Lonchura striata: one gene and its partners. The protein of the gene in region 2 purifies or fractionates together with the protein of the main gene of each other region. This does not show direct contact. Links are inferred from orthologs where the notes say so. Each region holds a gene or a part of one and is shown on either strand. Other genes may lie near its edges.

Region 1 (3,747 bases), on a different chromosome or scaffold from region 2:
TCCGGGGGCCGGGCCCGGGCCCCGCGGGGCCCGCGCCGCGCCACAAACTACAACTCCCGCCGGGCACCGCGCGGATGGGCGCATGCGCGGAGGCGGCGCGGGCGGCCGAGCGAGGCGCGCGGCGATTGGCCGCGGTGGCGGGGGGCGGGGCGCGCGCGGTGACGGCAGGAAGGAGCGGGGGCAAATGGCGGAGAGATGGTCCCGGGGCCCGTCCCGAGCGCGGCGATAATCCCGGCGCGGAGGAAGCGGCGCCGGAGGAGGCGGCGCCGGGGGCCCTGACGCCCGCGACACCCCGGGAGGGTCCCGCTGCCGGAGGGGCGGAGGCGTCCCGCGGGCTGAGCGCCTTTCGCAGGCGGCGCTTCGGCGGCCCGAACCCGCGGCCGGAGCCACATCGGCCGGGCCCGCGCCCGGCACCGCCGCCACCGCTGACGCCGAGGTGGGTGCGGGGTGAGGGGGCGGCGGGGGCCGAGCGGGCCGCGCACCCCGCGGGCTGCAGCCGCCGCCGGGCCCCCGGCGCTGTCCCGCCTGCAGGGGCGTGCGGGGCCGCCGCCCCCGGCCCGGCGCGAAGTTGCGGGGCGGGAATTGGCTCGGGCCGGCGCGGGGGGGTGCGGCTCCGCGGGCCGCGGCTGCCCCGGGCACTTGTGTAATGTGGGCCGGTGGGGCGGCGGGGCGGGCGAGGCGGCCGCGCGGGACGGGAAATGACATCAGGGAGCGGCGGGGTGACCCGGTTCCGCTCGCACCCCCGCCCCCCCGCCGCAAGGGGAGGGAGGAAAAAAGAAACTGTCACCGTGGGATTTCATCAGCTCCTTCTGCCTCCCTGCATTTAACCTATTTTTCTTTCCTTTGATTATGTAAGAGGAGCGGTGTAGAGAGGAGCGATGAGTAGGGGTGGCCGATGGGCTTCCTGGGGAATTACCGGGTTTTTTGTCCCCAGCTGGTCCGCCGAGTTAGCGCTGGGAAAGGAGAGAAAACTGTGGTTTTTGGGTTTTACGTGTCTTTACGTTGCTTGTATTGCTCCAAATGGTGCAGCACAATGCAGGCGAGGGAGGCAGGGAGCGGAAACAGAGTGAGATTACACCAAGTGTTTTATTTCCGTCTGAGAGAAAAATCAAGAGAAAATTGTGAGTAAAGAGAAAAATCCTGTTCTGTTGATGCTCTCGTGTAAGAAAGCACCTCTTTATGCTCTTAAATCTAAGATATAAGAGTATAGCATAGAGTATTTATATTTTCCTAATACTTTTAAACTGTGCACATTATATTGAGTATTAATTCGGGTTTTGGTGTTTTGATTTAAAACTTATGAGATGAACATAATTTTAAAATTTATAAATAAGAAAATGGAGTTTACTTTCTGAAAATTAACTCCTCTTGACTACAGGAATCTTCCCTTTGGAACTGCAAGCCCCAAGCTATACTTTAAATTTGTCATTAGTTTGCATAGGTTGGGAACATAGTATAAAAAATACTTGTCTGAGTACTTCTTATAGTGCTTATTATAACTAATACTTACTTGAGTCTTGAGGGTGTAGGGAAGGAAAATATGCTGGTGGTCAGTGAAATGGTTTTTTCTTTCCTGTAAGTTGTTAGAAACTGAGATATTAGTAAATATTTTACTTCAGCTTCTACAGTTCAAAAACCTGGCTATTCTGGTGTAAAATATTTTGGTTGCTGTTACAAATATTTACAAGCATCAGCAAAATAAAACTGGTAATTTAGATTTTGTTTGCTGTTTGCTTTCTAAACTATGTGTAGATAGAAAACACAAAATTGGAGCTCCATGCAGAGGAGAAAGAAAAGGAGTTTGGCAGTGATATGTGTGTGGAAAAGAGGAGGTGGGATTCAAGAGCCCTGTCTCCTAGGAACAGCCAGGAGCCCTCTGAAGAGTGGCTTTTGCAGCAGAGTTCTGCTCAGCAGATGAGCACCTGCCTTTACCCTCCCTCAGCTGCACCACGGGGGAAAAGAGCCTTTCCCAAAGTGGGTATTCCTGTAGCTCTTCTGCATTGCATCACCATCCACCTGGTAAACTTCTGAAGTTCAAATGTGATCATTTTAATGCACTTTAAATTTTCTCCATGGGTTTTCTCCCCGTGAATTGCTTGGTTCCAATGGTAAGTGAAGGTTGGTCTGGTCTAATAGAGGGAGACTATTATAGTGAGACAGTATTGCTAGAATGAAGTGATAGAGGGACATTTCTGGAAGGCAGTCTGGCAATTTTGGCAGAAGCAAGACTGCCACTTCAGGTTGAGAAGCTGTGAGTGCTGAGATGAAAACTAAAATAGGAATGATGGTATGTCACATATTCGGGGAGTAATAATAAAAACAGTTGTATTGAACAAATAGATCATTATAAGTCCAATAAAATTATTTTAACTGCCATTTTTCATATACTTTATATGAAGTTAGTTAACATTTCAAAAGTTAGATTTCTTTGATTCTGTACCTTAAATAACTGTCTTTTTTAGCAGACTTTTTTCTGGTATGGAGAGGTATTTCAGAGAGAAGGATGGAATTGATTAGATTCAGGCTGACTATAAAGAATTGCAATTTCCTATCCATGTTTGGGCCAAAAAGAGAGAAATAGTGGTTCACAAAACAGATATGAGAGTTTGGGGTTTGTGTTGTCATTTGTCCAGCAGTTAGTGTTTGTTTTTGGGTAAAAATCTTTGAGTTAAACAAAATTAGAAAAAGAGCACATACAAGGAACTCTTAAATGTGTTCCTGTTTAATGTGTTACTTTTACACTTCTGTTCCTCTGAGCAGGCTGTGGAGCAGTTGTGCTTGTAAGAGCCAGTGAGCAGTACTGGTTTACATGGGCCTGCTGAAGGTGTCCTCCATGTTCTTAGAGGTGGATTGAGCAGTGTCTCTGTTCTGTCCCTTGACGAATCAGATTTACCTGTGGGGGATTGTTGTGCACCAGTCCTGACCACATAATGTTACCAAGTAAAACAACTGTTACGTGAGTCTGAGTGTGAGAGATGAATGTGGGATGGAGTGGTCATCATTGTGATTAATTAGTACTTAAAATACATCTACAGCAATGTGAAATATTCTCTCAGTTTTTGTATTTAACTGGCAAGAGATTTTTTTTATGCCATGCTATGCTGTTGGACTCTAGGAGGGAGCTGTGTGTTCAGATGTGGTGAAAATACTGCTGAGTTGTTTCATGATATTTTATGATAATGCCTTCTATACTTGAAAATATAAAATTAGAGAAAAGCAATACCATTCTTAGAAGATTTTCTTAACGACTCATTGTGCCATTGGTTTATAAATGTGCAAGCAACTGAATTTCTTTTTATTTTAGTGGGTGCTTAGTGCAGAACCTTTTGCCATAGTGACAGTCACATGTCAATGAGTGCATCTAGAAAGAAACACGTGATGGAGCTGTTGGTTGTGTGCAGTGTACATGCCTGGTGCTTGTATGCCCAATAAAGGGTGGAAGTAACAATAATTTGTACTAGAAAAGTGATGAATTGATGTTTCTTCTTTCTTTCACAACAGAGAATATGAAACAGGAGCCAAAATGACATCCCGATTTGGAAAGACCTACAGCCGGAAAGGGGGAAATGGCAGTTCCAAGTTTGATGAAGTGTTTTCCAACAAACGGACCACCCTTAGTACAAAATGGGGAGAAACCACCTTCATGGCCAAATTAGGACAGAAGAGGCCCGGTGTCAAACCAGATATTTCTGAAGTTCCTAAGAAACCCAAAGTTGAAGATGAGGTAACAGAGGATCCATTTGGATT
Region 2 (3,747 bases):
GCTGACAGAGAATCATTTTATCTAAGTCTGGATTCACAGCCAGATTTAAATGCCTGGTTTGATGACACCCTTCTAAATTTCAAAATCAGTGTCTGAGATTCTCCAAGTGTTCATTGCAACTCTCAGTCACTTTCACTATAATCCTTTTAAGCTGGTTTCATAGAGGCTGTGGACACTCAAGGCTTTAACTCCCCTAGGACAACAATGCAGGGAAACGAGGACCACAAGTGTAGGATAGCAATTTCCTACCCACATGCTATTACACCTGAAGCTCCAAAAAGCTTTTCAGTCTTTGTACGTTTTCCACCCGCACCTTGTAAAGCTGGAATTTGGCATACTTCACCATAATCTTACTTACCCCTATCCCATCCCCTCACCCTCCTGCACCTTTCCTTTGCCACTGCCAGGCCATGCTAGCTACCACCCTGCTGTGCGTAGAGAGGCTCCTGTCATACCTGTGCAATCCCCATGGAGAGAAACATCCCTCCATGGAGACTAGTCCTGACCTCCCACCTTCAACTTGCTCTAAAGAAAATTCATTAGAGATTTGCAAAATTAAGAAAAATAATACTTTTAGCTGGTTTGAATAACAAAAATAAACAGCTGAAGACCTGAAATTAGTCTTGATCAGTTAAGAGTCATCTTTCAGCTGTCACACATCTTCTCTGAGCAGCATGGGCATCTAGAAAATATTTCATAGCCACCTACACTTCAAACACGACACGGTACATACTGCAGATTCAAAACAAACAGATCTATCCCACTTTGTTATTGCCTTTCCAGACATACCCCATCCCTTCGAAATACGAATATTAAATTAGAAAGACATTTTGCACGGAAGGATTTCCTGAGCTGGCTGGCGAGGGCTCCTTTGGTCTGCATAGTCAAGTTTCTCCTTAAGATTTACAACCAAAGGATGGATACTCCTCTTTCCCCTCATCTGCCTGAAGAAGGACTGCTCACTCTCGCCGGCCACAGCACTCTGCCCCCCACACTGTTTCCGCACACTCTTCTCTATCATGCTGACCAGGCCCCAGACGCCTGAGGGACCGGCCCGCGCAGCCACGAGCGGCCTGGGCTCCGTAAGGAAGCAGCAAAGTAACTCGCTTCCCGCGCTGCAGCCGCGAACCCGCGGGCTCGCTCGCTGACACTGCCGGCAGCCGGGCATCGCCGCTCGGCGCCAGCCGGGCATCGCCGCCCCGGGGGGATTTAGGAGCCAAGCTGAGGCAGCGCCGCTCCAGCCCTCCGTGCGCACGGCTCCGCGCGGTGCCAGACTTACTGGGCGGCCTCGCCCTCTGCCCGGGGCGGGGGCTGCGGGCTCCCGGCGGGGCGTCGCCGCCGGCCGCGGGCGGGCAGGGGAAGGGGAAGGGGAAGGGGCGGGGGCGACGCGCAGGCTCCGCCCGGGCTGCGCTTCCCTGGGCGGGCGGAGAGCGGCGCTGGGTGCCCGCGGCGCACGCTCCGCCCGAGCCTCCCCCTCTCTCCGGCCGCCGCCGCTGCCGCTGCTGCCGCCACCGAGCCGCTCCCCCTCCCCCAGCCAGCGCTCCCGAGCAGGAGCTGCCGCGCCGCGGAGCAGGAGGCGGCGGGAGTGCCCAGGGCAGCGGCCGGCGGGGTGGCGGCGGAGCGGCGAGCACCACCCGGCACGGAGGCTGCTCAATGCTGCACCTTCCGGAGCTGCATGAGGTAAAGGCGGCTCCGGGTCCCGCTTCCCCCCGTGCTCGCTCCCCGCTCCCCACGGCCGCGGGGGTGTGTGCGCGGAGCTGGGGCTGCGGGGGGCTCTTTGTGGGCCCGGCCGAATGCGGGGCGGCGGGGCGGGTGGGGGGGGTGCGGGGCGAGAGCTGAGGGGACATGAAGTTGCGGGAACAAATGGAAAGTGGCGAGTGGCCGGGCCGCCTCTCCGGGGGAGCTCCTGGAGGCGCGGGAGGGCGGGCGGGGGGCTCTGAGGGAATGGGGGGTTCGCGGGGGGGTTTTGTTTGCGCTCTCCGCCGCCTCCCTCCCTTCCTCCCTCCCTCCCCCTCTCCTGTTGGCTTCTCTGCCTCCCGATAGTTTTGAGGCCTAACTGTTTAGGCCTCGTCTCCCGGCTCCGAGCCGGTGTGCCGGCTCTGAGCCATCTCCTGGGGCCGGGAACGGCGTCCCCGGCCCACCCCCCGGGCCGTAAGGGGCCCTCGGCCGCGGGGTATCCCTCGATTTGGCCCCAAATTTCATTGTAAAACCGTCGGCTGCGAACTAACAGTGTCGGGCTGGAGCAGCCTGGCAATGAAAGGAGGCGCCGGAGGGGAGCGAAGAGGCCCGAGTCGCGGGGAGCGGCGGCGGGCCGGGCCTCGCTCCCGCCGGGATGCGGCGGGGTCAGCGCTGGGGGGCGCGGCCGGCGGGGCGATAGCCGGGGCCTTCAGCGAATTGAGGGTGAGGAATGGAAAAAGAGGGTTAGAAAGTCGTTTCCATTCTGCTGAACTTTTGTTTTCTGACCGATAGAGGCCGGTAGAGGACTGTGGAGAAGGAAAGTTTATAACCAGCAGCGCCAGGATGGACTTCCCTGCTACCCAACCAAAACCCGCTGCCGACGGTAAAATCATCTACTATCCTCCTGGAGTGAAGGAGATTACGGACAAAATTACCAACGATGAGGTGGTTAAACGGTTAAAGGTGAGCAATTCTGACTACCACTCCCCTCCCTGCAACTTTTACTTGTTAAGGTAAACATTTTATCGCTGGAATGGAGAACTGCCAGAGTTTTGTTGTCCTTCCTGCCTGCAGACCTTTAAGGGAATATGACTTCATTGTTTTTCCTTAAGAGTGGAGGACCCATTTTTCCCATATTTTGTAATTCATTACTGTTCTCTTGTGCGTTCTCTCAATGCTGGATTTGATACATTAACTGCTAATTTGTACACGAAACATATCCACAGTCTAGAGAGGAGATTCGAAGTGGAATCATAAGTAATAATTACAGGATATGCTAGCAAAACTTTTTTGCAAGCCAGGTGGTTTTTTGGGTTCTGGCATTTGAAGAAAGTATAGTTGAGCAGAGGAAACAAGTAGGTCTACATAAGGGTATTTATGATTGAAAAGATCACACTGTTTGCAAAAAACAAAGCTTAATTTGTGGACTTTATGGATGGAATTTTGAAATAGTTTCAAATGTAAAACCTGTTTCAAGATTTTTTAACTTAGTGTGATACATACTGTTTTTTTCCTATTTAGTGTAATTGACAAAATTGCTAAATTTTCTTGAGCAAAACGGATTGCTAGAAAAGCATCTTCTCTGCTTGTTTGACAGCATCCTGGAGGAGTGCAAGTCTTGCCTCTTTTTTACTTTACTAATTCCTTCTTCCACTGCAAAAAAAATTAAATGCTACTGTGATACAGTAGGATTATTTCTTAAGTCCATGCTGAAAATAGAGAATTAAGTTGAGCATTGATCAAATATTGACACAGCTCATTTGTTAACACCATGGTCTTTGGACCAAAGGTTTTTGTAACCTAGGATTTGGTCCTATGCCCAGGATGGAGTAATAATTTCTAGAGATTGGAAATATTCTATCATCTGATGATCTGTTTCCCATGACAGTAAAGACTGAAAAATAGAAATCATGGTCTGGACAGGTCAGTTAGTACATTAAAAATTTTTCTTAGGTATAAATGTGAGGAGAACATAGGCTTTGTGCTTTGTTTTTTAAGCAGTTAGGCTTAAAAAGTGTTTTTTTTTTTTTTTTTTTTTTTTTTTTTTTTTTTTTAATGAGCCTTGTTGTC
Region 3 (3,747 bases), on a different chromosome or scaffold from region 2:
CCCTGAGGGGAAAATGGGGCCCTTGAGAGGAAAATGGAGGGAAATGGAGCCTGTGAGGGGAAAACTGGGGAAATGGTGTTTGTGAGGGGAAAACAGGGAGAAATTGAGGTCTTGAGGGAAAAATGTGGGGAAAATGGAGCCCTTGAGGAGAAAATGGAGGGAAATGTAATTCATGAGGGGAAAAAGGGGGCAAATGGAACCCGTGAGGAGAAAATTGTGGGGAAATGGAGCTCCTGAGGAGAAAGTGGGAGAAATGGAGCCCGCCTGGGATGCTGGATCAGGTGTCCAGGTGGGAATACAAGAGGAATATTTGGATAACAATGAATTATTATCCAGAACGCTCTTTATTTGTCCAGCACTAATAAGCTGTTGCTAACAACGTTTGTATTTCATTTGATCGCAGGTTATCTCCATTTTGCGGCTAATTGGCTTTACACTTATCAATTTCTTGTTAGCATCATACTTACCTAAAGTTATCCACCTGGGGAGAATTTTCTTTTTTTCTCTGTTCATCACTAAGTACTTGGTTCACCGTAAAATACCCATTAATTGTAAACCAAAACGTTATTTATATCAGGATATATAGAGATGAAAGTTGTATTTAGGTTATATAGATATAAAAAGCTATGATTTAGGTTATATAGGTATTGGATTACACAAATATGTAAAAAATTATACAGATATATGAAATTATATAGATATGCACCTGCATTATATAGAGATAAATAGTTATATAGATTGCATAGATGCATAGATATGCTGTGTAAATATATAACTTTATCTTTTATTTCTCTGTATGCGTATAGATACAGAAAACTATATTACATAAGCAACGCATATCGGTACAACATATATTGATATATATTGTGTCAATGCCAATATAATTTATGTTATATTTATTTTAAATTGTAGAGATAGGCCAGGTTATACTAGCATCTTATAAAGCAAAGTATATGAATGTCTTTTAATTTTATCGAAGGTTAAATAGGCATTAATGAATAATAATATTGTGGAAAATGTATCTATTGAAACAGCATGTGATCATCTTTAAGTTATTGTTTACTATTCCACGTTAATTTATAATCTTGGTGCCATAGAACCATTCTAACGGGGAAAAACCTCGAGGAATAAATCTTGTCTCGAGGCTTTTTGTCCCAAGATCACCAAGCAACGCGATTTTTACCCAAAATCCCCCAATTTGCTTTGCTCCCACGGCGTCCCCCCGTTCCCATGGCGAAGGGGCGGCCCATTCCACCCTTCCCTCCCTCCACACTTGGTACATTCCATGCAAATGAGCCCGCTCGCGCCGCCACCCCTGCGTTCAAAATGACAACCAATAGGAAGCGAGAAGGCGGGGTTACGGTAATGATTGACAGCTCTCAGAGCCTATCGCGAGGCGCGGCGCCCCAAAGCCGCCAAGGAAAACCACCGGCCTATCAGCGGCGAGGAGGCGGGATTTCAGCGATGATTGACAGCGCCCGGAGCCAATCGGGAGGCGCGGCGCCCCGTCCCTCAGCGGCCGCCGCAGCCGCCGCTTTCCCGCCCTGCGCCCCGAGACCCCCCCGGGACCCCCAAAACCTTCCCGGGACCCCCGAAACCTTCCCGGGACCCTCCCGGGACCACCATGGGCTTCCTGAAGCTCATCGAGATCGAGAACTTCAAGTCCTACAAGGGCCGCCAGATCATCGGGCCCTTCCGCCGCTTCACCGCCATCATCGGCCCCAATGGCTCCGGTGAGTGCCGGGGGGGTTCAAGGAGCCGCTCCCGTGATGGTCTCTGAGGGGGGACACCGAGTTCTTTTACAGCGCCCCGCTTCCTGGGCTCCGTCCTAAATATTGGGGTCCTCCCCCATTTCGTGGGGGTCTCTTCTAAGCTTTATTGGGGTCCCCAATAATTCTCCACAGCATTCCCTCAGCGCCCCCCACTCGCCTCCCTCCTCTTCCCCTGGGGTCTCCCCCATTCTTGGGGTCCCTCCTCTTCCCCTGGGGTCTCCCCCATTCCTGGGGATCCCTCCTCTTCCCCTGGGGTCCCCCCCCGCCATTCCATGGGGTTCTTCTAAGCCTTATTGGGGTCCCCCCCATTCCATGGGGTCCCTCTTGAACTTTGGGGTCCCCCCATTCCCTGGGGTCCCCCCAATAATTCCTGGGTTCTCCCCATTCCCTGAACTCCCCCCTCTTTCCCTGGACTCCCCCCATCATTTCCCTCAATTCCTCCCATTCTTTGGGGTCCCCCCTCAATTCCCCAAACTCCCTCAATTCCTCCCATTCCCTGGGGTCCCCCCTCAATTCCCGGGGCTCCTTCCAACCCCCCATTCCCTGGGGTCCCCCCAATAATTCCTGGGTTCCCCCATTCCCTGAACTCTCCCCTCTTTCCCTGGACTCCCCCCTCAATTCCCTCAGTTCCTCCCATTCTTTGGGGTCCCCCCTCAATTCCCGGGGCTCCTTCCAACCCCCCATTCCCTGGGGTCCCCCCATTCCCTGGGGTCCCCCCAATAATTCCTGGGTTCCCCCATTCCCTGAACTCCCCCCTCTTTCCCTGGACTCCCCCCTCAATTCTCTCAGTTCCCCCCATTCCCTGGACTCCCCCCCTCAATTCCCTCAGTTCCTCCCATTCTTTGGGGTCCCCCCTCAATTCCCGGGGTTCCTTCCAACCCCTCATTCCCTGAGATCCCCCCATTCCTTGTGGTCCCCCCAACAACCCCGTGGGTCTCCCCCACCCCCTAAACCCCCCGTGTCCCCCCCAAACCCGGCAGGCAAATCCAACCTGATGGACGCCATCAGCTTCGTGCTGGGGGAGAAGACGAGCAACCTGCGGGTGAAGACGCTGCGGGACCTGATCCACGGCGCGCCCGTGGGCAAGCCGGCGGCCAGCCGCGCCTTCGTCAGCATGGTCTACTCCGAGGAGGGCGCCGAGGACCGCACCTTCGCCCGCGTCATCGTCGGTGAGCCTGCCGGGGGGTTTGGGGGGGGTCCTGGGGGTCTTTGGGGTGGGTTTGGGGGGCATTTATGGGAGTTTGGGGGGGGGTTGGGAGGGTTTATGGGAGGTTTGGGGGGCATTTATGGGAGTTTGGGGTGGGTTTGGGGGGGTTTATGGGATGTTTGGGGGGGATTTATGGGGGTCTAGGGCACATTTATGGGGGTTTGGGGTGGGTTTGGGGGGATTTATGGAGGTTTGGGGTGGGTTTGGGGGGTTTATGGTGGTTTGGGGGGTATTTATGGGGGTCTGGGAGGGATTTATGGGAGTTTGGGGGGATTTATGGGGGTCTGGGGGGTTTATGGTGGTTTGGGGGGCATTTATGGGAGGTTTGGGGGGGATTTATGGGAGTTTGGGGGGATTTATGGGGGTCTGGGGCACATTTATGGGGGTTTGGGGTGGGTTTGGGGGAATTTATGGGGGTCTGTGGTGGGTTTGGGGGGAGTTATGGGAGTTTTGGGGTGGGTTTGGGGGGATTTATGGGAGGTTTGGGGGGCATTTATGGGGGTCTGGGGGGGATTTATGGGAGTTTGGGGGGATTTATGGGGGTCTGGGGGGTTTATGGGGGTTTGGGGGGTTTATGGGGGTCTGGGGGGGATTTATGGGGGTCTGGGGTGGGTTTGGGGGGATTTATGGGACGTTTGAGGTGGGTCTGGGGGGGATGTATGGGGGTCTGGGGGGGATTTATGGAGGTTTGGGGTGGGTTTGGGGGGTTTATGGGGGTTTGGGGGGCATTTATGGAGGTTTGGGGGGGATTTATGGGAGTTTGGGGGA

The links.
Region 1: the proteins of PDS5A (region 2) and WAPL purify together in Homo sapiens (affinity purification with mass spectrometry; 6 studies listed by BioGRID and IntAct, with this or other methods). This does not show direct contact. The link is inferred for Lonchura striata from reciprocal best matches to the Homo sapiens genes PDS5A and WAPL.
Region 3: the proteins of PDS5A (region 2) and SMC1A purify together in Homo sapiens (co-immunoprecipitation; 8 studies listed by BioGRID and IntAct, with this or other methods). This does not show direct contact. The link is inferred for Lonchura striata from reciprocal best matches to the Homo sapiens genes PDS5A and SMC1A.

Annotation. Positions count from the first base shown.
Region 1 is NC_134609.1:5,932,822-5,936,568, reverse strand, and holds the start of WAPL (wings apart-like protein homolog), read left to right. Parts: upstream 1-735; 5' UTR 736-1,020; coding exon 1,021-1,121; intron 1,122-3,501; coding exon 3,502-3,747. UniProt on the Homo sapiens protein: Regulator of sister chromatid cohesion in mitosis which negatively regulates cohesin association with chromatin. Involved in both sister chromatid cohesion during interphase and sister-chromatid resolution during early stages of mitosis.
Region 2 is NC_134606.1:23,095,985-23,099,731, reverse strand, and holds the start of PDS5A (sister chromatid cohesion protein PDS5 homolog A), read left to right. Parts: upstream 1-1,530; 5' UTR 1,531-1,653; coding exon 1,654-1,680; intron 1,681-2,469; coding exon 2,470-2,640; intron 2,641-3,747. UniProt on the Homo sapiens protein: Probable regulator of sister chromatid cohesion in mitosis which may stabilize cohesin complex association with chromatin. May couple sister chromatid cohesion during mitosis to DNA replication.
Region 3 is NC_134638.1:1,686,714-1,690,460, forward strand, and holds the start of SMC1A (structural maintenance of chromosomes protein 1A), read left to right. Parts: upstream 1-1,513; 5' UTR 1,514-1,624; coding exon 1,625-1,733; intron 1,734-2,752; coding exon 2,753-2,941; intron 2,942-3,747. UniProt on the Homo sapiens protein: Involved in chromosome cohesion during cell cycle and in DNA repair. Central component of cohesin complex. The cohesin complex is required for the cohesion of sister chromatids after DNA replication.